4 linked regions of the Lytechinus pictus genome follow. The protein of the gene in region 1 purifies or fractionates together with the protein of each later gene. This does not show direct contact. Links are inferred from orthologs where the notes say so. Each region holds a gene or a part of one and is shown in the gene's direction. Other genes may lie near its edges. The genes, in order: importin subunit beta-1-like, ran GTPase-activating protein 1-like, nuclear pore complex protein Nup50-like and regulator of chromosome condensation-like.

Region 1 (7,364 bases):
CACATAAAAATACGACATGTCTCATGATTTTGCCATCACAAATAAAAATATTCAATATACCGTAGATCTATATCAAACTAAGCCAACAACCATGACAACATCATCATCAAATATATATATTCTCAAGCTAATCAATGTTGAAATATCAAGAGATCGTGGTGTTTTATTATGTTTTTGTCAGGACCCCTCACCTGTTTGAACACTGGTTTGTCAGCGCGAGTGCTAACATGCAAGTTCGTGTGGGTCGCACAAATGGTCAGAGATTTTGGAGCAAAAGTCAACTTTGAAGCATTTTGTGGTCACGTACCCAACCTGCACGAGGATTCAAAGTTCATCGCAGGTGTCGCTGTGCGTAATGCTATAGAGTTTCAATGTAATTTTACATGTACTTTGTGAATGAACGTGAGTGTATTGCTTACACACATTCAGGTGGATAATTTGCATATATGTAAACTTAGTGACTCATCGATCATGGTGTAATCATTCAACCGTGTGTGCGGGTGTATTTTGATCTATTTATCATCCCCTGTTTTACATCAATTTTGGAATTATCTTTGGTCGATATATCAAAGTCTCACGGCAGCAATCATAATCAACCAAACAACAATGTCAGTGGAAGAAGTAAGTCGGTACATAAAAAATATTTCATCAAGATGCAACGCAGTGTTTCATGGTACTTTTGTTGAAGTCGGAGGAGACGTAGACGGGAGAGCTTCAGGCAACCGTGAATACAATGGGAGGCTGGTGTGAATTTTCTAGCCGGCCAGACTTTGATATATCGACCGATGAAAGTTTACACCTATTAAGAGAGAGTTTTAATAAATGACCTGTAAATGGTGTCATAATTCATATATTGGTAACATGAAAAGAAAGGTTAAGAAAATGTGTAGTAATGGAAGAGGATGCGAGAGCATAAAGGAGTACAAAGTTAGTGCAGTGGTTGAACTGGGTCCATATTGTAGTGAGATTGGTGTAACTGTTGGAGATGTGCAATTGGCAATGTGTTGTGAGAGTGATTGGTAGAAGCTTGGTTGGGAGTGTCTGACGAATGGAATAGCAAATGTATTATATAATTGGGCAAAGAGCCAGGAAATGTGTACGAAGCAATTTACACTGTTAACTGAGCTACTTGTTTATATTGATGATAATGTAAGTGCTCAACATATCTACAAAAAAATACAAAATGTTTGACGATCCGCGTTAGCAGGTACAAAGAAGATAAGCTTCATGAATTTATGAGAGAAGTGTTTGTTAGGGAACGGAGTAGGTCAGTAGTAGTACATGTAAGGCAAAAGGGAAGAGTTGTAAATATTGTAGGGTGAGCGTAAAGTAAGTGATCAAAATGTAAATACATGTAATTCTTGCCTGCGACCAAATATGGTCAGCCCCCAAAAGAGGTAAGAGAAATGAAAGTGATGGAAAAGAAGTACGGAAAGATGGAGATGAAGTTAGATTCATGTAGGAAAAGATTAGTAGAGACGATCGTAAAGTTGAGAAATGTTAAAAGAAAAGAATTGAGGAAAGGTGCATCACTAGAAGAAAGAAAGGCGACGGTTGTTCGGATGGATAAGGAACTACAATTAAATAGGATTAGAATAAGTAAACTCGAACGAAAATATGCAAAAATCCGCAAAAAGTTGAAGGAGAAAAGAGGCAAAAGGAGGAAGGATACACTGCTAACTACGAAAAAAAAAATTGATGAGAAAAATAAGATATGACAAGTGAAGATTTTTTTTTAAATCTAGGTTTGATATGTGCATAATTTATTTAATTTTTTTATTCCTTTGTCATGAAACTCCATATCGCTATCCACAGGAAATGCCAGGGTACATTCAGAGTAGGAAAGGCAACCTAAATGGCCCTGGTAATTTCTAATTTTTGTCTCGCCTGCATAGCAGAGTGAGACTATAGGCGCCGCTTTTCCGACGGTGGCGGTGGCAAAGGCGGCGTCGTCAACATTGAAATCTTAACCAAGGTTAAGTTTTTGAAGTTTTGAATTTTGGACATAAGAGAAACCATGTATCCTTGAATATCATGCGCGAGTTTCAGGTCACATGACCGAGGTCAAAGGTCACTTACGGTAAACGAACTTTGGCCATATTGGGGGTATTTGAGGAATTATCTTAACTGAAATTTTATGGATCTAGTTCATGAAACTTGAACATAAGAGCAATCAAGTATCCTTGAACATCCTGTGCTAGTTACAGGTCACACGACCAAGGTCAAAGGTCATTTAGGGTCAACAAACTGGTAATGTTGGGGGTATTTGTGGAATTATCATCATAACTTTAAAAGTCTATGGATTTAGTTCATGAAACTTGGACATAAGAGCAGCATTGTATCCCTGAATACCCTGTGTTTGTTTTAGGAACATGGCCACGATCAAAGGTCATTTAAAGGTCAATGAACTCTGGCCATGTTGGGAGTACATGTATGTGTTGAATTGGCATCATAACTTAGGAAGTTAATGGTACTTGCACATGAAACATCGACATAAGGGTAATCAAGTATGAATGATTGTTTTGCACATGTCTTAGGCCACATGATCATGGTCAAAGGTCATTTTGGGTCAATGGACATAATATTTTATTATCTTATTAGTGTTTTCTTCTGTGAATAATTATTATTAATATTAGCTGTTTTTCAAAGGAAGCACTGCTGCTATATCGAATTGCGTAATGCAGGCGAGACTGCCAGAGGCGTTCCACTTGATTTGAAAATGGCCTGGTAATTTTTCTTTTTTTTTCAATGGCAGAAAAATAAAGTAATGTTTAACACTGGTGATAGCGAGCTCATGGCCAGAAATGTGGTTTGCTAACAAGTGTAAATGTATAGATCTAGATCAGACTATTTGTGTCTGTGTGTAGATCGAAGAAAACATAAACAAGCTTTAGTGTTCTTGACGGTACAGTTTAAGGCTTTTTATAATTTCAATATTTTTAAAATACTTTTTCGGGCCACCAAATTTTAATGTTGGGCCACCAAAAAAAACAACTTACGAAAGTATTGGTGGCCCGAATGGGCCACCCCAAAAAAAGTTAATGTGGAGGCTTGCCTAGTAAATATTTTAAAATTGTCCACTGCAAAGTATTGCTCTGACTTCAAATGCTCTAACAATCAAATTGTAGTGGGAAAATAACTAAAATATTCTTAAAGGACAAGTCCACCCCAAAAAATAGTTGATTTGAATAAAAAGAGAAAAATCCACAAGTATAACTCTGAAAATTTCATAAAAATCGAATGTAAAATAAGAAAGTTTTAAAGTTATGCTTAAAGTTATGCTTAATTCCACAAAACAGTTATATGCACATCCTGGTGGGTATGAAAATGATGAGACTGATGACGTCATCCACTCACTATTTCTTTTGTATTTTATGATATGAAATATTCTATTTTTCTCCTCATTGCCAAGTGAAACAACAATTAATTCCTCCCTGAACATGTGGAATGAGCATTGTTTAATACTATATGATTCAGTCAAGTTGGTCCTTATCGTCAAATCTATAAAAAATGAAATATTGTATAATTCAAACAATAAAAAACAAAAGAAATAGTGAGTTAGGGACATCATCGACTGCCTCACTTTAGTTGTGCATATCACTGTTTTTTGAAAAATAAGCAAAAATTTAAAATGTCGTAACTTTCTTATTTTACATCCGATTTTGATAAAATTTTCAGCGTTTTGCTAGTTTAATTTTTCTCTATTTATTCAAATCAACATTTTTCTGGGGTGGACTTGACCTTTAATGAACATTTGTGTGATGTCCCATACACGTATGCACTCATGTGTGGATGTGACTCTGCAAAATTGAGCAGATTTCTGCAAAGCATTGGTCAAACATTTGATGCCCTAACAGAAAAATTATGAAACAAATATTTTGACAGAACATTTTTGTTTGTCCAATACATGCATTAATGTGGAAAATGGTTATTTGATTTGTTTTATCACTTGGATGAAAATCCTACAGCACACTGTACAACAGTTATTAGGTGTATAATAATCAAAATATAAATAATTTATTGGTTGGATTGCTTAACTACATGTAAGCTAGTCGTACAGACTGTTTCACCCTAAGGCTCATCAGAGTCGCTGATGAGCCTTAGGGTGAAACAGTCTGTACGACTAGCTTAGTTAAGCAATCCAACCAATAAATTATTTATACTCAGCTCCTACACAGTCGAGCACTATTAGATATTGCAGTATATCACTATATACTTACCTACCTAATAATCAAAATATACTTTTCATTCACTTTTAGATGTTTTTTTCCCACCATTTATGACATGATCAAATCTTTAAATTATGAAATGTATAAACACTTGTGATTATATTTTCTTATCCAGACACAGCGGAGCTAGAAGCAGCACAGAGGTTTCTAGAACAGAAAGCCAGGGAAAATTTGGTAAGTAACAACTTGGTCATTTTTTTTTTTTTAATTACAAAAACCTAGACTTTTGTAAAACTATGATAATTAGGTACATGTATGTATGAGGGAAAGTAGTACTGTATGGAGGAGAATATTTTAGTTTGCCCTTTTTTTCTCTCTGACGGTTTAGGAAGAGGTTCAATAGTGAATTACATACATGTACATGTACATGTATTTAACTTTTATTCAAATTTGTAGTTATTGTTATATTACTTTTGTTTGATGGATTTTTGACCGCTTTATCAAATTATCAATTTCCCTGAATAATCCCTTTCTATAAAATTCATTTATTCTGTATCAGAAAGGTATTTAATCTTTGTCCCATTTCATGCTGGCTTTTTATCAAAACAATAGTTTATTATTAAAATATGAGTTATGTTAAACCAAACTGACCTTGCCCTAAAATTCACAAAATTTAAGGCCTAGATTATGTAGCCAGCCAGGGCAATGAATTGTATCTGTTTTAACTTGAACTGGCCATGCTGGATACATGCACATTGGTATGATAGTAGCTGGTGTATCCTACCCTCTGCTTGTGTACAAATACAAGCTGCATGTAATTAGGCTTTGTATAATATTCTGTACATGCACTTAAATTTAATTTTTCTGATCTGTAAGGCATTTACATGTAATGATACACAAAACTCACATATTTAAATAATTCAGTGGCTACAATTTTTGTGTCAGTAATAATGTTTTATTTTGCTTGTACAGCCGCTTTTCCTCACTCAACTTTCTGAGATCCTTGCAAATGCCGATAAGGCTCATGTCGCTCGCATTGCAGCGGGTTTACAGCTGAAGAATGCACTTGTATCCAAAGATCCCAATATACGGCTTCAGCTCCAACAAAGATGGTTAGCGCTCTCAGCAGAAGTCAGGAACAATATCAAGAGACAAGTAAATTGATTACATGTTTTTTTTTCATAGTTTTTGTAATAGACTCAAGTGTCAGGCTAAATTATATTCTGATAACTGTCTTTTGATCAAGCTACATGTACCATTAAGGAAATAGGTTAATTTGAACCTGTTCTCATTCTAGCAAACAAGAATGTCAAGTTGAATTTTTTTAAAAGATTTTGGTTGGCTTTGGTAATCAGTAAAGTTTGTTGTGCCAACATGCCTATGATAATATTGCACTCATCTCTTTACAGTTATAATCATTTGTAATTTATTTATTTTCATTTTTACTGTAGTTTATTTGATGGAAGCTTGTGTTAGAATATCCACTGTAGCTGTTTATTAAGGAGAGAGAGGAGAAAAAAACCAGGATTCTATTATCCTTTCCTTGCACTTATGAATGTAATGTAAGTATTAATGATGCAAAGGTGTGAAGAATAGGATGAAATTTGTTGTGGCACTTGCTCTATCCTCAGGCACTTTTTTTTTCTTTTTAAACTAGGTTTTAATGACATTGGGTACAGAGTACCAGGGTCCCAGCTCAGCTGCACAATGTATAGCAGGAATAGCGTGTACCGAGCTTCCTGGTAAGTTATGGCCAGAGCTTTTACCTCAGTTGGTCAGCAATGTCCTCAACACTGCTCAAGGCACTGACCACCTCAAACAGAGTTCCTTAGAGGCTATCGGATACATCTGCCAAGATATCGTGAGTGAAAGCCAATCAGAAAACAAACCTGTTTCAGTTTTGAGTGATTAAGAATATGTTGCGTAGTGTAATACGCTTTTTTAAATTGATGAACATCTGTTCCATTGTCATAAATTTAAAAAAATGAGGAAAAAAATGAAATTATTTTTTATTTACTAATTTTGATAGATACAATATATAATGGGCCAAATACAATCTGTAGAGTTCTCAAGGTGCAACAAAAGAAAGAAGAAGCTGCTACTTTTCTCAATTCTTGTAAGATTTACAAGTAAAATATGTTATTCAGAGAGATATCCATTTGATTTGACATAAGTATTTGGCTTTGAATTTTTATGCTGTAAATACCTTCACGCTAATACTCCCAGGGTATTTTTATTCTTGTCAGTATGGGGGGCATTACAGGCCCCCTTAAGATCTCTTAAAAGTAAAAAGTCAGCGAGTAAAAAAAAATTGCACCACAAAAATCGGTAGTATTATGGTTAAATTGGAATGAATGAATTTTTGGAATTGAGATATCAGGACATTGTACTGTCAGCAGATTATAAAAGGTTTAATTCAAGTGTTATTTCTTTTGTATAGAGTTTAGCACGTCACATATCCATTCCACAGAGGGGAGACCTTTGAAGGACCTTTGAAAGACCAAAAATTGGCAAGGTCTTACAGCATTCTCCAAGATAACTGAAATTTGTCATCTCTGTGGAATGGCTCAGAAAGACCCTCAAAGAATTCTGAAAGACTGATGGATATTTCTTTTCTTACTAGTCTTAGACTTCAATGGTCTTTCAGAGATCTTTTATGCAACAAGTGATCTTTCAGAATTCTTTCCATGGACTGCCTGGTCTTTCAATGATCTGTCAATGACTTTTCAATGATCTCTCATAAGTCTTACAGTGATCTCCCAAAAAATCTTGAGAGACTGTCGAAAGATCAAGCAAAGACTAATAAGAACCTTGAAAGTTCATAGAAAGACCGCTGAAAGACCATTTTCCAGTAAAGGGGCCATTCCACAGAGAGCAAGACCGCTGAAAGACCTTTCAAAGACCATGAATTTTGGTCGATCTTACAGAGGTCTCTCAATGAACCTACAATGGTCTTTGAGGTCTTACACGAGTCCTGACCAATCTTTCAGCGGTCTTCGTGGTCTTCATGGGCTCCAAAACTTTTTGAAACGGCTCAAAACAGTCTTAGAACAGTCTTAGAGGAAAATGGTCTTTCAGTGGTCTTTCAGCAGTCTTTCAGTGGTCTTTCGATGAACTTTCAAAGGTCTTACTAGTCTTTCAATGATCTTTCGGCGGTCTGTCAAGATTTTTGCGGAGATCACTGTAAGACTCATG
Region 2 (6,903 bases), on another chromosome or scaffold:
TTAATGTTCATTGTGGAAAATTTACTTTCGCACCTGTATGTAGATCCAATCATGTTGAGAACAGCGCTCTAATAAGAAAGTAGATCGAACAGACAGACAGTTACAGACTCCACTAAACTTTGTTTAAAAGTAAAATTAATTTGACTGCCATTACTTTTATTACGGTTAGGTCTACATGGAAATAAATTATAATGTAATCATATTGAGGTATGTTTCATATTGTGACTTAAAAGTGATTGAAAAACTCCAGCAGAGTCTCGCGGGCCGGATTGAGAAGCTCTGCGGGCCGGATCCGGCCCGCGGGCCGTATAGTTTGAGAGCCCCTGCTCTAGCGATTATTCTCACCATACTTTATAATAGGTGAACCATTATATGAAACAGAATGATAGACCTAAATGTTAAAAAAATTTAGGTACATTTTTACATGTATAACCCGAAGTTCATGGCCTATATAATATGCAAGAAACCCTCTTGTATCATGTATAGGCCTACCTCGGCAAGTCATTAAATTGTTCGTGTATAGGCCTAGTTCAAGTTCAATTTCAAGTTTTATTTCTTTCCACTGAAAGGCACAAACAAATACATTAATTAATATATACAATATCCATGATGTTAATACAAATAGAATAAACTCATGAACAATGTGTTGAGAATATACAGAATGGGAAGGTGGTCTGTATAAAAGCAAAGCCTTGTTGAGCAGATCACCTTCGTAACAACAATAAAAATGCAAAAGACACAACAATCTGCATGAAAGAAAAGAAAAGAAAAAAGATCATATATATATAGGCTAGATAAAAGGTTAACGATATATACAGAAGGGACATCAAAAAGATTAAGAGAGATTTTTCAGATGGGGGGGGGGGGCAAAATCATGAATCAACGTTCCAATGGCGCTCGATCACACCAAACAAACTCACCCACCCACACACCCACACACACACACACACACACACACACACACACACACACACACACATATATATATATATATATAGTATACTGACCTGAAAACAGGAAAAAGATACCTGTTTAGGACTGTTTGTCGTAACTCATATGTGGAGAATATATCTCACTACACAGATAATGCGAGTGCCGAAAGCGAGCCGAAATTTCTTTATATTCTGACCTGAAAGCTTGATATTCTAATCATTTTTGGTACTAATTATTAAGATGGGTATATAAAAGAACAATGGATGCGAGCGCGAAGCGCGAGCTGAAAATTTTGATCTGAAAACTTTGACAGTTTAATGGACGTTTTTAATAAAGAGCAAGATATATATTCAACAAAAGATTATTGCAATCGGAGCGGGAGTTCTTTTGAGGTTTAGAACTGAGGACGGGTCCTTCTATTCACCTATTTAATCATGAGAAGTATGGGTTTTTGCTACAGAAATGATGCGAGCGCGAAGCGCGCGCTGAAAATTTTTATAACCCAATCTGAAAAGCGGACATTTTAAACACGATTTTAAATAAAGATCGAGTTGTTTATCTCAATCTCGCTTGCTGATTTCTGTGTAACATTGCAATCTTATTTTATTTTTGCACATGCGGAATTATTGGGGGGGGGGGGAGGCAAAACGATATGTTTGCCCTCCCCAATATTTTCATTGGTGCCGACCCTGCCCCCCCCCCCCCCCCAGGATCGACGCCTCTGATCCATAGAAAGACGGGGGGGGGGCAAATTGATTGATTTTATTCGTCAAGAATATCACAGGAGATTACAATAAAATTGAAGAATACCTTGACAGGATAGCCCATGAAAGCCGAAAGGCTTATTTCCAATGGGGTCCTATAGTTAGTATAAAACATTAACATAAAGGAGTGCATGCTAATCCAATTTTCTACAGTGAGTTTAAAAGGTAGACAGATCTATCACTATAAAAAAAATATATCACTAACAGGGTTGAAATTAAAAAAATAGAGAAATAAGTAAGTGCAACACCCAGTATTGGGAGTGAAATGCATGTACAGCGACACTACTATATAGTGCATGCCCTAGCTCCATAATGGCGTCGATTGCACTGCAAATCAATCCTATATCCTCTCATTATTTTATGCAGGCCAGATGTAAACTTTATTAAAGAAGTGATTACTATACGTATATCTAGAATGTATACATATATTATTAGGCCTATAGCTCATCGATCTACGTGCTTCCTACGCAGAGGCGTCGTCCAGGGGGGCAGGGGGGGGGGGCAAAAATATAGTTTAGCCCCCCCCCCAATAATTCCGCATGTGCAAAGAATAAAATAAGATTGTAATGTTACACAGAAATCAGCAAGCGAGATTGAGATACACACAGGCAACTCGTTCTTTATCTAAAATCGTGCTCAAAATTTCCACTTTTCAGATTGGGCGCTCGCATCATTTCTGTAGCAAAAACCCATACTTTTCATGATGAAATAGGTGAATAGAATGTCCCGTTTTCAGTTCTAGACCTCAAAATAACTCCCACTTCGATTTGCATTAATCTTTTGTTGGATATATATCTTGTTCTTTATTAAAAACGTCCATTAAACTCAAATTTTTCTGATCGAAATATCAAAATTTTCAGCTCGCGATTTGCGCTCGCATCTATTGTTTTTTAGATACCCATCTTAATAATTAGTACCAAAAATGCTTAGAATATCAAGCTCTCAGGTCAGAATATAGAGAAATTTCAGCTCGCGCTCGCATTAATTTGTTGGTGAGATATGTGTCTCTATCTCATGAGTCATATATGTATATATATATAGGCATATGTGTGTGTGAGTTTGTTTGTTTTGTGTGATCGAGTGCCTTTGGAAAGTTGATTCATGATTATTTGCCCCCCCCCCCCCCAATCTGAAAAATGGATCGACGTCCGCCCCTGTTCCTACGTTAACATCATGGAACAAAACTCTTGTCGTTCATATACAGTGCGTCCCAAGAAAAAAAACGAAACCACGAATTATATACTGTAGTAATAGATGCATCCCAGGTTTTATCAGAACTTGATTACAAATTTGACCTCACTGATAAATTATCATCGGTCAACCATTATAATAGCTTAGGGGTTTTGTCTGATGTAACTCATATTTTACCTCATTGTGTATGAGTGATTAGCAGAAACAATTTGAAGAATGAGGATAGACCTTTACCAAGAAGTTATTGACGTTTTATAGGCCTATCTGAATTTCAAAAAGACAATTTAATGTCTCAAAAATTATGATCTGTTCTTTAATTTGATACTTAATTCAAAGAGAATAACCCAAGAATAACCCTACCCAAAATAGTAGGGGGACACAATATTAAATATCCCCTACTATTTTACTATTTTTGGTTTATGATGGAAAGAAATACATCTTTCAAAATCGAAATAAAACATGTATTTTGGACGAGATGACCTTTTTTTTGGGGGGGGGGGTGAGAACCTTTTTTTCTTGCTTGCTTGTCAAATTTATTTTGGTCGAAATGAGCTTACATTTGGGGTGATGACCGGGGGTGATGACCTTTTTTTGTCAAATTTTGTCCCCCTTACCCGCCAAACGACCTTCTGGGGCCTCGGAAATGGGGGGGGGGGGGGGACTGCGGAGGCTTCAGCCCCCACACTTTTTTTCAAAAACCGTGTACAATAACGTAAACAGGACCATCTGATTATGATTTTTTGCATGGTTAGCCGCCCCCCCCCCCCCTTTCTTGTACTGTGGCCGCGGCCCCTGACTTTGTTATCTTTTATTTTTCTTCTCATATACCGTTTACAATCATGGATTATCATGTGAGTACCTCCAATTTAAAGAAGAGGCTCTAAAGCTTTGCATTTATATAGACAATTATAAATTACATTGTGGACATGATATGAAACAACGATGGTTCTCGGCACTCGGTGTCTGTTTTTTTTTTTTTTTTTTTGGACGCACTGTATATTATTCGCAGAATAATTCCCGAAATATAGTTTTCGGCGGGCGCACTTTCAGTTATTTTCGCGATCGCGAGACAGCGAAGAGCGTCCAGTTATTTTTCGATAGATTTACACTAAATATTCATCATGGCAGATGTTTCTGGTGTGACAGAATTATTAGCAAAAACATCAGTGGACCAACTCATAGAAGTGTCATTCTCTGGAAAAGGACTGAAGCTGAATTCTGCAGAAGATGGTGAGTGTCCGTACATTTCTTCTCGTGCATATTGAAGGAAGTGTTAAGTCCCATTCGTTTACTTTTGTGTTTTTGAATAAAGCCCATATTCATATATTGCATATTTTTATTTTACAAAATTACACATAGTAAAGTACCCAAATATCGGACGCTTATAAGCATGATTAATTGGAGCAAAGCGAAAACACAATCATTTAATCAAATAAAAATCATGTTTATTTCCGTAGTACAAATGTTGAATTTAGGCCCTAGGCCTACTCATAAAAAAAAATTGAAAAAATGATGATAAACGGTCGTTAGATCTAAGTTACGGTACTTCAGTTCAGAAGCTTGTTTTTTGCCAAAAATCGGATGCAGTTTCCCAATATCAAACGTGTAGAGTTGTGCGCTAAGATCAATTTGATATTTCGGCAATTTAAATCGTGCTCTAGACCCCAAAATAATTGTTTAAGTTAATTAACGGTATTTTATAGATGGCAAATATAGCGATCTTCAACGCTTATATATAAGCGTCGAAATTTGTAGCCATCTCCTTGTATTAGTCTATAATATACGACGTGTCAAATTGTAGCGAACTAGTTCGCTATTTCCAGATCTCCTCTATATATATATATACGAGGGGGAATTGTAGCGAACTAGTTCGCTATTTTCCATATCTCCTCTATATATATATATATACGAGGGGGAATTGTAGCGAACTAGTTCGCTATTTTCTAGATCTCCTCTATATACAAACGACGGGAAATTGTAGCGAACTAGTTCGCTATTTTTCGGATCTTAGTTCGCTATTTTCTAGATCTCCTCTATATACAAACGACGGGAAATTGTAGCGAACTAGTTCGCTATTTTTCGGATCTCCTCGATATATATACACGAGGGGGAATTGTAGCGAACTAGTTCGCTATTTTCTAGATCTCCTCTAGATACATACTACGGGATTTGTAGCGAACTAGTTCGCTATTTTTCGGATTTCCTCTATATATATATACGACGGGAAATTGTAGCGAACTAGTTCGCTATTTTCCAGATCTCCTCTATATATATATACGACGGGAAATTGTAGCGAACTAGTTCGCTATTTTTCGGATCTCTTCTTTTGTAGCGAACTAGTTCGCTATTTTTCGGATCTCCTCTATATACGACAGAAAATTGTAGCGAACTAGTTCGCTATTTTTCGGATCTCCTCGATATATACACGAGGGGGAATTGTAGCGAACTAGTTCGCTATTTTCCAGATCTCCTCTAGATACATACTACGGGATTTGTTCGCTATTTTTCGGATTTCCTCTCCCTATATATACGACGGGAAATCATAGCGAACTAGTTCGCTATTTTCCAGATCTCCTCTTTATATATATACGACGGGAAATTATAGCGAACTAGTTCGCTATTTTTCGGATCTCTTCTTTTGTAGCGAACTAGTTCGCTATTTTTTGGATCTCCTCTTTATATATACGACGGAAAATTGTAGCGAACTAGTTTGCTATTTTTCGGATCTCCTCTATAAAATTTTATACACGAGGAGGAATTAGTGAACTAGTTCGCTATTTTTCTAATCTTTATATATACAAGAGACGGAATTGTAGCGAACTAGTTCGCTACAATTCCCCCTCGTGTATATAATTTTATAGAGGAGATCCGAAAAGTAGCGAACTAGTTCGCTACAAATCCCGTAGTATGTATATAGAGGAGATCTGGAAAATAGCGAACTAGTTCGCTACAATTCCCCTTGTGTATATATCGAGGAGATCCGAAAAATACCGAACTAGTTCGCTACAATTTCCCGTCGTTTGTATATAGAGGAGATCTGGAAAATAGCGAACTAGTTCGCTACAATTCCCCCTCGTATATATATATATAGAGGAGATCTGGAAATGGCGAACTAGTTCGCTACAATTTGACACGTCGTATATTATAGACTAATACAAGGAGATGGCTACAAATTTCGACGCTTATATATAAGCGTTGAAGATCGCTATATTTGCCATCTTATTATTTCCCGTTAATTAATTGTTGCGCAAATTTCAATTACTATCAGTATCAATAATTTTGATATAGAAATCTTTAAATAATGATATTTTACATACCAAACGGACCTCTTTCGGCTCTGAACATTGGACGCCTTATCTCAGGCTCAGCTGCGCGCGACTTCGTTCTGAAAACGAGCGTGTACGCGTCAACAGCACGCATTTCCAATTCAATCGGCCGATATGACCGATGTTTGGGATCATGCCATATTTGGAAGGGTGTCAAATTTCACTCCGTAGGGAACCCCCGCGGAGGCTATTGCAGATTTTTTCTCGATAGATCGAACATGTGCGATCTCGGCTGCAATATTTCTGGCGGAAATCACTTCTCCCTTACGAGATTTTTTTTGGTCATCGATCTTTTAGAGTCGATAATTAGCGAGCGTGAGGGTCATAAGAATTTCAGGAAGTCAAAATCATGTATTTTACCGCTGGATTTATCCCCTGGAATATTTGTATTGAGCAGCAACTTGGAGCTACTAGCTACTGTGTGTGCAGTTCAATAGCAGGTACATGTTCATGTATCTTATGCATGCAAGTCCCCTGCCAGTGTGGGTCCCTGTAGTTATGGGGAGAGGGAGTTGAAGCCATTTCGTCCAAGACTTGGAACCGTCCGATGTTTGCGGACTTTACTCTACATAAAGTCATAATGTATAAATTTTTCTTCTCTCCTCAGCCAAGGAAGTTGTTGCAGCAATAAAAACCTGTGATGGGATGCAGTCATTGAAGCTGAATGGCAACACAGTTGGTGTGGAGGC
Region 3 (7,145 bases), on another chromosome or scaffold:
ATTAGATGAATTATCCAACTTGAAAATATCAAAAAGTACCGGACTTGACTTGGTTCCTGCTAGATTTTTAAAGGATGGTGCAAAAAACGTCTTTATACCTTTAACTTACATTATTAACCTATCTATTTCAACTTGTACCTTCCCTGATGAAATGAAAATCGCTAAAGTCACACCACTACACAAAAAGAAAGACAAAACTCACGTTGGCAATTATAGACCTATTAGTGTGTTAAGCATAGTGTCGAAAATTTTGGAGAAATGCGTGTATTCTCAAATTGAGAAATACTTTAAAGAATACAAAATCATTTATGAATTTCAGTCTGGTTTTAGGAATGGTTATTCTACTGAAACATGTTTAATTCACTTGTTGGATTTTGTTAGGAATGAAATTTCCATAGGCCGTTATGTTGGCATGGTTCTTCTTGACTTACAAAAAGCATTCGATACGGTTAATCATGAAATACTCTTAAAGAAATTAGAAGTGATGGGTTTGAATTCAGCATGCTTGAATTGGTTTAGGTCTTACTTGACCAATCGCCGTCAAGTGGTATCCATGCAAAATGTACTTTCATATTCTATGCCTATAAAGTGTGGAGTTCCACAGGGGAGCATATTAGGTCCCATTCTTTTTATGTGCTATATCAATGATATGTGTATTTGTGTTGATGAAAGTAAATTACTTGTATATGCAGACGACAGTGTTTTACTCTATTCTGATACAAGTCCTAAGCTGATCGGTGAAAAACTTAGCTTAGAATTATCAAATTGTGTTAAATGGATGATAGATAACAAGCTTAGCTTACATGTTGGTAAGACTGAAAGTATTTTGTTTTGTTCGCGGGGTAAGTCTAAGCATACAGATGATTTCAATATATACTATAACAATCAATTAATTAAGAGACAGAATTCCGTGAAGTATTTAGGCCTGATATTAAATAGTGATCTCTCATGTACATCCATGGTTGACGCTATTGTCAAAAAAGCTATAATGCTCGCTTGAAATTTCTATACCGGTACCAAAATTGCATGAATACGAAATCCAGACGCATTTTAAGCTTTTCATTAATACAGTGTTTATTTGATTATGCTAATGCAGCATGGTACTGCAGTCTTGGAAAGGGTGATCAAAAAAAGTTTATAATTATTCAAAATAAGATTGTTAGATTTATTACTTGCTTACACCCAAGAACACATGTTGGGAAGAATGAAATCGAAAAAGCTGGCCTTCTTCGCATAGACTTGAGGTCGCAACAACTTATACTTCACCATGTTCATAAAATTTTATATTCAAACGAATATCATTACATATCAAAAAATTTTACACGGTCATCTAATATTCACGGGCATGAAACAAGAAATAGTCTGTTTAACTTTGTTGTACCTATGAGAAAAGGTCAAATTGGTAACACATTTTATTATAAAGGTATACATTTTTGGAATTCCCTCCCTAATCATGTTAAATCGGTTAAGACTTTTTCACAATTTAAAAGAGTATTGAAACAACACTTTAAAAACGTCCCCACTCTGTAATGTTAAATATTGTAGTCTTATATATAACTATTTAGATATGATTTTTTTTAATAAACTTGTCTTACATTGTTTCATCATCTTTTGTTGTTTGCGTGAAAGTTTGATGTCAAACTTATTTGTACTTTTTCATATCTTAGGTTTTACGATTCATGAATCTTGTATTAGTTACGATGCATTTACCGCTACCTAAAAATTGATTATTAGTATAATTCTCATATGTAACTTAGAAGTAATGATCGTTTACTCAACCTTTTTTTAACAATTATTTTAATCATATTTTGTTGACTGCGTGTTTTTCATGGCAAACTTATTTGCTTTTGTCTTTTTATATATTAAGTTTTACAATTTATCGTGTTAATTTAGTGGTCTAGACTTAATTTATGTAGTTTGTAGATTTCTATAGGTGTTTTTTTCATAGATGTACATTGTCTTCAATTACTGATGTAAGGACCCCATTGGAAATAAGCCATCTCGGCTTTCATGGGTTATCCTGTCAAGGTATACACTTCTGTTAATATCTTCTTGTACTTGTTCATAGTTGCCTGACAAATAAAATCAATCAATCAATCAATCAGTGGGATAGTAATTTAGTTTTCTTTGTTTTAAGATATAGTGCTCTTTTCCAAAGAAAAGGTGGATTTTTATTCCTATTGTGCCCCCCTCCCCACTTTCAACTTCGCTCCGCCGCCCCTGTGTAAGCCTAGTCAAGTTGCATTATGGCATACGTGGGAAGGCCTTGGAGTGGTTCAGGAATTACCTCTCTAACAGAAAACAATTTGTTTTTCTTAATGACCATTCCTCCAATTTGTGTAATATTAGTTGTGGTGTGCCACAAGGAAGTATTCTGGGACCCCTCTTGTTTATTTTATATATAAATGATTTTTGCAGAGCATCTGACATTTTATCTTTCATTATTTTTGCTGATGACACAAATCTATTCTTCTCTCACAATGATCCGCTTACACTTGTTAACATAATAAACTCTGAATTAACTAATATTTTGAATTGGATCAGAGCTAACAAATTATCAATTAACCTTCAAAAAACTAAATACATTTTATTCAGTAATACCATAGATTCCTTACCTTTTGACATTTTTATTGACGATTTTCAACTGGAAAGTGTCTCCTCAATTTAATTTTTGGGAGTTCACGTAGATAACAAACTCTCCTGGAAATGCCATATTGATAATATTTGTAAAACAATATCCCGAAATAAAGGCATCATAAATAGGTTGAAAACGTTTATTCCTGTAACTTCTCTACTTACATTATATTCTTCTCTTATATTACCATATATAAACTATGGGATCCTTGTTTGGGGCAATACCCACCCAAGTTTACTTAACAAAATATTATTATTACAAAAAAAAAGCCCTTCGTATTATTTTATTCTCACACCCCCGTTCTCACACTAATCCGCTTTTCCTTGATTACAAAATTTTAAAGGTTCAAGACTTATACCAATTTTTTTTCTCAAAATAAAAATTTTCATAGGTATCTATACCAGACAAGCCGATAACTTTCATCTGCCTATCTTAAGAACTCGTTTTGCGCAAAATACTTTTATTTTCACCGCCCCCAAATTTTGGAATTCACTCCATACAGATGTTCAACAGGCCCCCTCTATCCACTCCTTTAAGAGAAAACTAAAAAAAATTATGTTACTGTCTTACCAAAGTAATCAATTAGTTCGTATCTTTTTTAGTAATATCTAAGCACGCTATTAAGTCACGCTCTCTTTGATCCACGTTTGCACTCTCGTTCTTGGCCCCCCCCCCTTATCTCTCTCTTTCCGACCCTTTCTCTCCACATAATCTGTGTCTGTGTGTGTTTGTGTGCCTCCCTCTCTCCCCCTCTCTCTCTCTCTCTCTCCCCCCACTTATATTCGCCCTCTCTCTCCCCCTCGCTCCCCTTTCAGTACTTTATTCCTTCTCTCTGCCCTCTATTCTTCATCATGTCTTTGTTTTCTTTTTAGTTTTTAGTATCGTCCCATATCTCTGTCATCTTTTTATCATTTCTCGCTATTACTCACCATCTTTTTATTATTTCCAATATTCTATTTCAACCTATTGTATTTACACCTGCAAATGAGTCCGATTTCTCAAATGTTTAATATACTTTCTTAGGGGATCCACGCTCTACAAGCAATGCTTTTTAGTGGATCCCCTCATTTCCATATCAGATTGTGTCAAAACTATTTTACAAATATTTTGGAACCTGCAATTGATTTGTAATCATTAATATCATATTTCTTTTGTATTTGTTTATATTTATAATGTATGTTTGATTTGTATTTGCTTATGTTGATAATGGATATGGAAAATAAACTTGAACTTGGACTTGAAGTGATTGTGAATTCAAATATTCAATAAGAACCCCCCCCCCTAGTTTTTACATCATAAACGCTAGAAGAACAATATAATGTTTGATCCCTCATTTTCTGAATTCATATGTCAGACTGAACTTGGCAGGCGCAGGGTCAGGGAGGGAGCTGAGGCATAAAATCAGAGTTATTACTACTCTGCATAAAATCAAGGCCCTATTATATATAGGGCTTGCATAAAATGCTTTGCCGCCCTCTGTTGTTCATTGACATTTTATAAAATGGCGCGCTACATGCAGAAATGAATGAAGTGGAAAGTCAACATCCGTTTACGAAATAAATGACGAGTATTCATAGCTTCAGCCCCAAAACAGGTCAGCATAGTCCTCATATTATATCTGTGATTTTCTTATTTAATATGTACGTTGTCATGTTGCGTCTATTAACTGTAACCAGCAGCCGGCTACCGGCCAGGCTTAGCCCCCACTGCCGCGCCGGATGTGCCGGGTGCGCTGCCGCTGGGGTGGGCCGGCGCCGGCTGTGTGGCTCTGAGCTCTGGTAACTCGGTCCACTCGCGCTCGCAGCGCCTACAAATTAAGTTACAAGTAACGTTAGATCTACAAGTACCACTGCACTCGCTTGATGGTGAAAGTTAAGGATGGGACTCATGTAAGTGTCATGATTAAGTATTTTTAGAAAAAAATGTGGTCCAGACTCCAACTTTTTAATGTTACTGTTAGGGCCTAGATCTGGGGGGCGTTTCATGAAAGGACTTGCAAGTTGCAGTAGAGCCTAGAGGCGCACGGCCAATATTGGAGACTCATGTGGGAGATTATCTCCAATATCAGAGACTTTTGTAAAGAATTTGGGTATCCAATTTCAGAGACAGTCTCCAGTTTTGGAGTCCAATTTCCTTTGTTTACATTTGCTGCAAAAGGATTACCTTGGCCATGTTGGCGGCAGATAAAAATGTGATAAGCAGATTCCTCATGAAAAATTACCCCTTTTCACCGTCAATATTCACCGTCTACTTTTGTTTTGGCAAAAAGAAGCTGCTGAAAACTGCTTATCTAATAAAAGAGAGCCAATGGAGTATATATTACTTTTTTTTTTCTCCACTCACCTCTTTTAGATTTACCAATACCACATTTGCTTATTTACAATGTATACTATGGTTTCTTCATTAATAGTAAATACACCCCCTCTCTTCTATATTTGCTTTTACCTTTTTAGGCAATTTGCTTCCTCTTTTTCACATATACTTTTTTTTTTTTTTTTTTTCCTACTGTATAGTCCTATGTTTTTTCCCGTCACACCTAGCGGATTACAATATCAGTTACACCATATGTGTATAAGCTTTTTCGGTATTGATATTTTCAATACCGGTATTACTAATTGCTTCAATACCGGTATACCGACTAATACCGGTGTAAATTCCCAATTCATTTTGATTGTGCAAACAGTGTCCAATGTTTGTTTAGCCCTGATATGGCCTCGGATAAAGAGTGGATGCTTGCGGTCAGCTGAGGAATGCTCAGCATGGTCCGTTCTCATTGACAGAAACTTTCTCAAACATATTTTCATAGATTAAAAAAAATTAAAAATGACGAAGTTGAGACTTGTCTTGAGCCTTGCAAGTCACCACTAACCTTAGATTTTCAAATGGAAATAATCATGATTTGTTTATTAAAGAGAGATTAGAAAATGAGAAATTATCGTATTTCAAGTCCCAACTATTATAAAGACCTGAGCAAAAAGTTATACGATCATGCTCTCTCCCGGCCCCACCGAGACGGCGAGAGAGAGTTACCTGTGCACAGTGCACGTGCGCGAAATTATCTCAGCAAGCACGTGGTACAATTTATTAATCCTATCTCCATGCTGAAATGAATTAGATGTAGTCAAGTTACCAAATGCTATACCGCACCTACTCACTGCTATTTTGCTAAACTTGTGTACATGCCCCAAGTTCCAAGCACCAAATTCCCTGCTGAAACAGTCAAGGAGATTTGCGTGATTTTCCCTTCACCGATTTGGCCCCACTCATTCACATTTAGATACGCCCCTTTTTTACCACTCACATCAACACGTGTTCGTCGAAGGTTCAAAGTTTGTTGACCTCAAATTTTGACATCTCGTAAATAACTTTTCTTATGTCCATTGTGTTGAACCCCCCCCCCCCCCTCTTAGCTAACTCCCTTCAGGCCATGTTTTCTCCCTCTTGTGAATCTCCACATGTTGTCTAAAAAGTAAAAACCTCCCCCTTGACTTCTTATCCCGCGGCCGCCTCTTTCTCACTCTTTTTTCTTGATTTTGTTTTTCTTTATCTCCCAGCCCCTTAATTCCTCACTCTCTCTTTCCCATCGGCCCATCCTCTCCCCGTCACCACCCCTCTCTTACCACAAACAATCAACATCCTCCTCTTCTCCGAGTCTCGATCTTCCCCCCTTTTTTCTATTTCTGTCTTTTGCCCCCCCCAAGTCCTGGTCATCAATACTTTTTCATTTTAATAATGTCAATTCTATCTTTCACACATGCCAAAATTGAGTTGATCATCTTATCACGCCACCAGTCCATCATAAATTTAAATTAAAATCAATCCAATAGTTTATTTCATTTTATTCATGACCGCACATGCACAAAAAGGATACATCACCCATCACAAATCACACAAATATTCCAGCCATTTTCTTCCATTCACGATCACTTCACAGATCATTTTCAAAATAAACCAAGAGGGATGGCGTAACATTTTGTTTCCATGTTTTTTATTTATTTGTTATTATTTTTTATATTTATGTATGTATTTTTTTTTTGGGGGGGGGTGTCAAACGACTTTTGTAGCAGGCTGTATAAAAGTAAACTTGTCATAATTGAAACAAGTTAAGAGCAGTCCGAGAAAAAAAACTTTCACTAAGAAAAAAAAAGTGTTAATCCATGTGGTTTGTCTGTCGATGCCCAGCACCCCCTCCCTCCCCCCCAAAAAAAGAGTTAAGAGCAGTCCGAGAAAAAAAAACTTGCATAAAGAAAAAAACAAGTGTTAATCCCTGTGGTTTGTCAGTCAACGCCCCAAGGTTGATACTTTGTTGAAGACACCACGTGGTCAAAAGGCAGGCTGGGGAGTGTTTCAAAAAGAGTTTTGTCGGTGATTTTGTTTGTTTATAGAGGGATGTTACAAGCTATGACAAACCCTCGCATGTGATTGGCGGAAAGCAAATCTGTTGTTGAAACCACTGAAAAATCTTCATAAAATGCTCCCCATCTCGATCGGCTTCGTTTGTTTTCTGTAG
Region 4 (6,908 bases), on another chromosome or scaffold:
ACCCAAATAAAAACTTGTTTTTATAAGAAAAAGATAAATCAGACAAGTTGATATGTGAAAGTTTGAACAATATTGAACAAACAACAAGAAAGTTATGAATTTTTAAAAGTTGTAAATATTGGTAATCACTATACTCATGGAGACTTCAAATTGGCCACATATGGGATGTCATAGTGATGTAAGGCAAGGACTACTCTTCCATGTACTCCATTACATATTATGGCTAAAATGTCATTTTTCCGAAAAGTTTTATTTCAAATTACATTTTTCTTTTATGAGGACATTTAACAATATACCACCTGGGTTATATTTAGATTACTGCCCCAGGGGAATGGGTACTTAGGAGAAAACCACAAAACCCTGATAATAAAGTACATGGCCTATGGGAAAGTTGTCCTTGCCCCTTGTCATAATTTACTTACCCAGTTGCCAATTTGAAATCTACATACTATTAGTGATCCCAATTTTAAAGCAGCTATAACTTTCTTATTGTTTGTCCGATTTCTTTCAAAATTTCACCATTCTGTTTAATTTATTTTTCTCCTTCCCAACACAACATTTTATGGCAAAGGCTGGATTCCCCTTTAAGTCTTTTGTTACCGTGCGATAGCTTCTGTGGGAAACCAGTGAAAACACGTTTATTTAAAGAAGAATGAAACCCTTGAAACCAGCTGAATCTATATCAAAGAGAAAAATCAAAGAAACATATTGTTGAAAGTTTGAGGAAGATTGAATGAATAATAAGAAAGTTATGATCATTTGAATGATCGGATCACTAATGCCATGTAGATCCTCCCATTGGCAATGCGACCAAGATCTGTGATGTCACACACGTACAACTCCCTTTATTTCATTTATATTCTCACTTTTATAGAGTCTATCACAATGTGAGGTGTTCTCTTTATGAGAGGAGAAGTACAGAGGTTTCACAACATTAAATCATTGATGAATCGTTTGTCATATGATTAGAATGAGCAAAAAGAGATGTTTTGGGGTATATTTTCAGTGTCCAAAAGGGGAGAGTTCTTCACCTGTGACATCATAGATCTTGGTCGCATTGCCAATGGGAGGATCTCCATAGCATAAGTGATCTCGACATTCAAATGCTCATAACTATTCTATTGCTAGTCCTATTTTACTCAAATTTTTGTTGATCTTATTTTTTGATTTTTCTGCTTTCACAAAAGCTAACTTGCTCCAAGAGTTTCATTCTCCTTTTAATGAAATTATGGAAATACAAGCATTGACAATTTTCTGTGATTTAGGTATCAAAGAAAAAAGAAGATATTGAACTTTTTAGTCATGTGATTTTCTTTTTGAAATTCAGATACCCCCCGCCAAATGAGTTTTTGGCATCCTTTCTTCGAAATCTTTTTGCTCAATAATGCGTCAATGAGGAATAATCTAAGTAATACCAGATGAAAGAGGAGATTCTAAGCTTTACATTGGTAGGTCATTTGTCTATTTTATTTATGATTAAGTTATGATAAATCATCGCTAAATCTCGGTTTCGTTTTTTCTGGGACGCACTGTATATATATTGGCTCATTACGCTTCATTAAAAGAAGTGAGAAGCGCGAACAACTGTTTGAACATTCACGTTCTAGGATATGCAAGCGTGAAGCGGAATTTTGCATTTTGATATAGTGTTAAAAACAAGTTTGCTATTTGCCAACTCTTCCCCTTTTAAAATTCTTCACTTTTCTTCCTCTTTTTAGTATCCCTCCTGTGTAATTGTCTTATTTATCCCTTCCTTGATATATCTCCTCCTCCTCCGAATAAGAAGAATAGGAATAAAAAGGAGAAAAAGAAGACGAAGGAGGAGAAGTAGGGGAAGAAGGAGAAGAAAAAGGAGGAGAAGAAGAAAAAGATCGAAGAAAAAGAAGAAGAACAACAACAAGAAATGATATACTATTTACAAAGACAAGACGAAGAAGAAACGAAAAATTAAGAAGAAGAAGAGAAGAAGAAGAAGAAAAGAAGAAGAAAAAGGAGGAGGAGGAGAAGGAGAAAAAATATCGAAGAAAAAAGAACAAGAACAACGTCCAACAACAACAAGAAATGATATACCGTTTACACAGATAACAATGCATATACAAAATGAAATATTGTTTGTATGATTTATCACAATAATAAAGACCAAATTATGCTGCCATTACAGAAAGTGAAAGGTTAAATAACAGAGTGCATGAGGAAATCATTGTCTATATATAAAAATAAAGAAATAAGAAAAAAAAAAGTTGTCTTTTGATTGTGGCTTTTGAAACTGGACCCAGACGAATAATTAACTTGAATCTGAAATTGAAAGAGTCCAGGAGGCCGTTGCATAAAGCTGTTCATAAGTTAAGAGCAAGTTTAAGAACAACTGGTGAAACTTTCTTACTCCTAAACCATCGCCAATGAACATTTTGGTGTACAGTATACCATTTACAAGAAAGGTTAACTAGTCGTTCTTAAAGTCGCTCTTAACTTACGAACAGCTTTATGCAACGCCCTCTGGAATCTTGATTATTCCTTTTTACCTATTTTTTTTTATTTTGTTACTATTTTGTTTTTGTTTCTGTTATCTTTCATTCACCCCACTTTAGTTTTTTTTTTTTAGGTTTTCGTTTTATGCACGGCCTCTCTGAAAACAAGCCATTGGCTGATCGAGTGCTGTTTTACCGTGTTTAAAACTTTAAACAAAATATATCAAATCAAATCGAATCAAATTCGAACAAAGCGGTGCATAAATAGGTAAAAGTATTAATGTGAGCATGAAAAAGTAAAATATCAAAGTAAATTGATGTTTCTATCATGGACAAGCGAATATTCAAATTGAATACAAGTCATATTAATGCTAAAAAAAAATTATGGTGATTAAAAACTAAACATATAAAATATTTAAAAAAAACTTAAAGAACTGAAACTTAACATATAAAACCATTCGCAAAATTATGTGTACTGAAAACAAAATATATGGAACGATTGCAAACTAATATTATGGTAAACAATGATAAAAAATTGTCAGTTGATGTGTAATACAACAAATTAAACAGAATGATACTCATAAAACATTTAGTAATCCATATTACGACGGTATCCGTGTTTTCAGCATCACTCTAGAGACTAGAAATATATAAGTATACCACCTAAATTTCAAGATCATAAAATTATTGTCTTAAATGACACGCCCTCATTTTTTAAATAAAATCATCTGAGGCATCGATCATAAGGGCGGGGGGCAATCGCCCACAATGAAAATATTGGAGGGCAAACATAATTACCGATTTGCTTCCCTCCCACTTTTTTTATCTTAAAAAAGAAAAAGGGAATGCAAATACTTTATATTTTTTAAAGGCATTGGAAATTAATATAAAACTATCCAACTTGACATAAAAATACAAAGTTGTCAATATTTCGACGCGCTTGTGCTTAAAATACCAGCCAGTTTTGACATTCTTTAAATTGTATATTTGCCCATCGACCCCCCCCCCCCCCGTGCTCCATCCTGAAACCTGGATAGTGGATTACCATTATAGTTTCTTTTTAAAGTTATGTGAAGTGGAGTTTATTCATATTATTCACTTGATAAGAGATGATGAATTTATATCAGAGTTATGCATAATACGTTACCATGCTTATGGGGGGGGGGGGGGGGGCTTTCACCATAGATCATTCATTGCTTCCAAAACAGACAGAAGTTCAAAAGCATCAGTGATATGTACAGTATTATGATTCTCAAAGTTTTTGGTATTTTGTTTTAGAAATGATATTAAATTTGCTGTTTGTGTTTTTTAATTGTTCGAATAAACTCAACCTATAGGCCTACTCAAAGAAAATTATTGACAAAATTAAAACCACTTAATATAATAAATTTCGGAAAATTCCATACGCATGCGGAATCCCAGTTTTTCATTTCTGGCTTTATTCGCAGAGCTAGAGATACCATCGAGTTTTAAACGGAGGCGGCAAACGTGTGTTACGTGCAACTCTTTTTGTCGGAGAAAACAAAATAAAGCTTGGTTTATAAAGGTCAGTTTCCAACTATTGACAATATCACTTGTTTTGAAGGATGAAATAGATATTATTATTTGTGTTTGAAGTGCTTTGTATGTTTTGGTTGTGAGATAAGCTAAACAATATTTCGAACGAACTTCGCACAATTAACATACCGCATACAACGCGATTATGAATATGTGGGCGCAGTGTTTCTCCTCGGCCTCGCGGCTTGACCCGTCGCGTTTAACTTCAAAGTTCAAGCGCTGCGCCGCGCTATCGCATTTCCTGTACCGTACCAGCTGAGAATGAGTGTCACTATTTCAAGCCAGGCGGCGCGTTAACTGTCTCCCGTTAATATGTGAGGTCATTTCATGCTTTTGGGGTGGTATTCTGACTGAGATCCATTTTATCTCAGAATCAGATCTAATAAAATATTTTATCTCCTTCAAAATCAGTGAGATAAAATACCCTTAAAATCTCTCCGAATTGGTATTTTGAGAACAATTTTATCTTCATTATTTTTAGATATCTGGATCTGGATGTACAGTGCAGGACCGTTAGGTTTAATGCACCGGGTAAGGAGAGGGCGCAAATAGTTTAATGCACCGGGTAAGGAGAGGGCGCAAATGAGTTTAGTCGAAACGTAGTGGCTTTCTTCGATCTTAATTTATTCTTGGCTTTAATAAACTGTAACACCTCTGGTGATGTACCGGTACTGCTGACAACTTCGTTAGGGAGTTGATTCCAGGCCAACGAACGTTGTATTCACAAAAAAAGAATTTCTTAACTGCTCTGCGTTACATTAACTGTCTTATTGAGAAAATGACTTGGAGTTATTTGTTACTTGTTTCTCTACCACATACAACATAGTTAGTAGCATCAAAGTTTACAAATTTCTTAGCTTTGATATTACGTTATAAATGTCTTGCTTTCATTAGAAATTTATCAACAGGAAGGGCAGGAACCAACCCCTCGACCACTTTGAAGTAGAATTAGCTAAGCCAAATGAATTCTTTTATTTTGGAATAAACCACAGCTTATTTGTACTCATTTTGAAGGGGATATAATTTTCTATCTAAGTAATAAGAGTACAGTTTTTCCTAATAACTAAAGCTTATTTAAATTAACGCATAATCCATTATGCAAATATTAAAAATGTTCTGCCAATGATCTGGTGACGTGGCGTGATGCATGTGGAGCGTTGTGGCCCAGTGGATTAGTCTTCGGACTTTGAAACAGAGGGTCGTGGGTTCGAATCCCAGCCATGGCGTAATTTCCTTCGGCAAGAAACTGATCCACAATGTGCTGCACTCAACCCAGGTGAGGTAAATAGGTACCGGTAGGAAGTAATTCCTTAAAAAGCTGTGTGCGCTATGAACGCCTAGCTTAGCCGGGTAATATAGGAGCGCCTTGAGCACCTAACAAGGTGCGCAATATAAATACCCTATATTATTATTATTACATTATATATAATAATAAATTAGACCAAGATTGCCAACAATCTTGGTCCAATGTATATACATTTAATTGTTCTAGACTAAACATGCTGAATCATATTTCATCTTGCCATCTTACACCCTAATTAGCATCTAATTATATATGCAAATGAGCAGCATTTAGCGCATAGGCTGAGGTGAACTTGTATTCACATTCATAGTAGGTCTACCTGTGACTGAAGAATATTCTTGCACTAAGTTTTGTTCTGATTGGAAGTAAAATTCCAGTCTCCACTGAAACAAATTAAAGATGTGCATCAAGCAAGTTCTGTTATTGTGCACATTTGCATTTTATTCCATGCATTAATTTGCATATTAATTACAATTAGCTGTTGTGTATTTCACGATATATGTGTGCAAATGGCAGAGTGGTATACACACACAAAACAATTAATAATAAATCAGAGGGGAAAATATCAAATGAAGGTAAGGAATTAGATCAGAACACCAATCAATTAATAGTAATAAAAATATTTAGGTACTACAAGGGTAGAGTTACTTTTTTAAAAAAAAGGAAGAAGAAAACCCTTTTACAGGCTTCATCAGCAACCCCCCCTAACCACCATGTCCTGTCTCAATTTTATTTCTAAGTCTTATGTTCAAGACAAACACAGCACCCCAACACTCTTTTAAAAAGATTAAGCCCCTTACCCCAATAAACAAACACACAGTCACAGAACAACACAATTCCTCAGCCCCCCCCCTTCCCAATCACCTCAAATTATAATTTTTTTTACTTTCTCTTTTCCTAATTCTACTTTTGAATAGATATAAAGTTTCCATCAAGCAGCTGAAATCATCAACATGACAGGACCTAAATTTCTTTTGCCATTAAAAAAATGATTAAAATTGATCTTGAGAATCATTGGATACACTTTTAAAACTAAAAAGCAAGATTTGTATACTTTCAACCTGAATTTACATGATTAAAGACTATTTCAATCATCAGCAGAAACATTGTCAGCAAATTTATCTATATGTGGGACTACATCAGAAATAACTTTCCTATTGCCTTCCACCCATATGGTTATCGAGCTACAGCCTTCCAAAGTGCGGGGGAAAATCCGAAATTTTTACGCTCATAATCACTCTTCTCAAAAAGCAGAAAAAACAGTAGAAAAAATCAAATATTTACGAAAAATTCTCGGAAATATTCTTACCTTCGCGAGAAGCCATCTTGCATGTAGTATCGAAGTGAAAATCTTGCAAAAGACGAGTTTACCCACAACCCTCAGAACCCGGAAGTAAACAATGCTGCTAACAAATATGGCGTCGATCACAGAAACTCCCCGGCGAATGCGAAGTTCAGAACCCTAATTATCTCATGACGATCGCTTGATTCAGATGGAAATGGGCTGGAATATGGAAAATGTAAGTGGAAATTACATTTTGACTATTGCTGTTTTCGAAATTTCAACATTTCATTTCAAA

The links.
Region 2: the proteins of importin subunit beta-1-like (region 1) and ran GTPase-activating protein 1-like purify together in Homo sapiens (affinity purification with mass spectrometry; 3 studies listed by BioGRID and IntAct, with this or other methods). This does not show direct contact. The link is inferred for Lytechinus pictus from reciprocal best matches to the Homo sapiens genes KPNB1 and RANGAP1.
Region 3: the proteins of importin subunit beta-1-like (region 1) and nuclear pore complex protein Nup50-like purify together in Homo sapiens (affinity purification with mass spectrometry; 4 studies listed by BioGRID and IntAct, counting the BioPlex papers as one, with this or other methods). This does not show direct contact. The link is inferred for Lytechinus pictus from reciprocal best matches to the Homo sapiens genes KPNB1 and NUP50.
Region 4: the proteins of importin subunit beta-1-like (region 1) and regulator of chromosome condensation-like purify together in Homo sapiens (affinity purification with mass spectrometry; 3 studies listed by BioGRID and IntAct, counting the BioPlex papers as one, with this or other methods). This does not show direct contact. The link is inferred for Lytechinus pictus from reciprocal best matches to the Homo sapiens genes KPNB1 and RCC1.

Annotation. Positions count from the first base shown.
Region 1 is NC_087245.1:3,731,287-3,738,650, reverse strand, and holds the start of importin subunit beta-1-like, read left to right. Parts: upstream 1-4,345; 5' UTR 4,346-4,403; intron 4,404-5,141; 5' UTR 5,142-5,324; intron 5,325-5,826; 5' UTR 5,827-5,832; coding exon 5,833-6,030; intron 6,031-7,364.
Region 2 is NC_087254.1:11,050,599-11,057,501, forward strand, and holds the start of ran GTPase-activating protein 1-like, read left to right. Parts: upstream 1-3,882; 5' UTR 3,883-4,009; coding exon 4,010-4,118; intron 4,119-6,821; coding exon 6,822-6,903. UniProt on the Homo sapiens protein: GTPase activator for RAN. Converts cytoplasmic GTP-bound RAN to GDP-bound RAN, which is essential for RAN-mediated nuclear import and export. Mediates dissociation of cargo from nuclear export complexes containing XPO1, RAN and RANBP2 after nuclear export.
Region 3 is NC_087253.1:24,834,009-24,841,153, reverse strand, and holds the start of nuclear pore complex protein Nup50-like, read left to right. Parts: upstream 1-4,116; 5' UTR 4,117-4,229; intron 4,230-7,145. UniProt on the Homo sapiens protein: Component of the nuclear pore complex that has a direct role in nuclear protein import. Actively displaces NLSs from importin-alpha, and facilitates disassembly of the importin-alpha:beta-cargo complex and importin recycling.
Region 4 is NC_087261.1:5,083,635-5,090,542, reverse strand, and holds the start of regulator of chromosome condensation-like, read left to right. Parts: upstream 1-3,897; 5' UTR 3,898-4,014; intron 4,015-6,908. UniProt on the Homo sapiens protein: Guanine-nucleotide releasing factor that promotes the exchange of Ran-bound GDP by GTP, and thereby plays an important role in RAN-mediated functions in nuclear import and mitosis.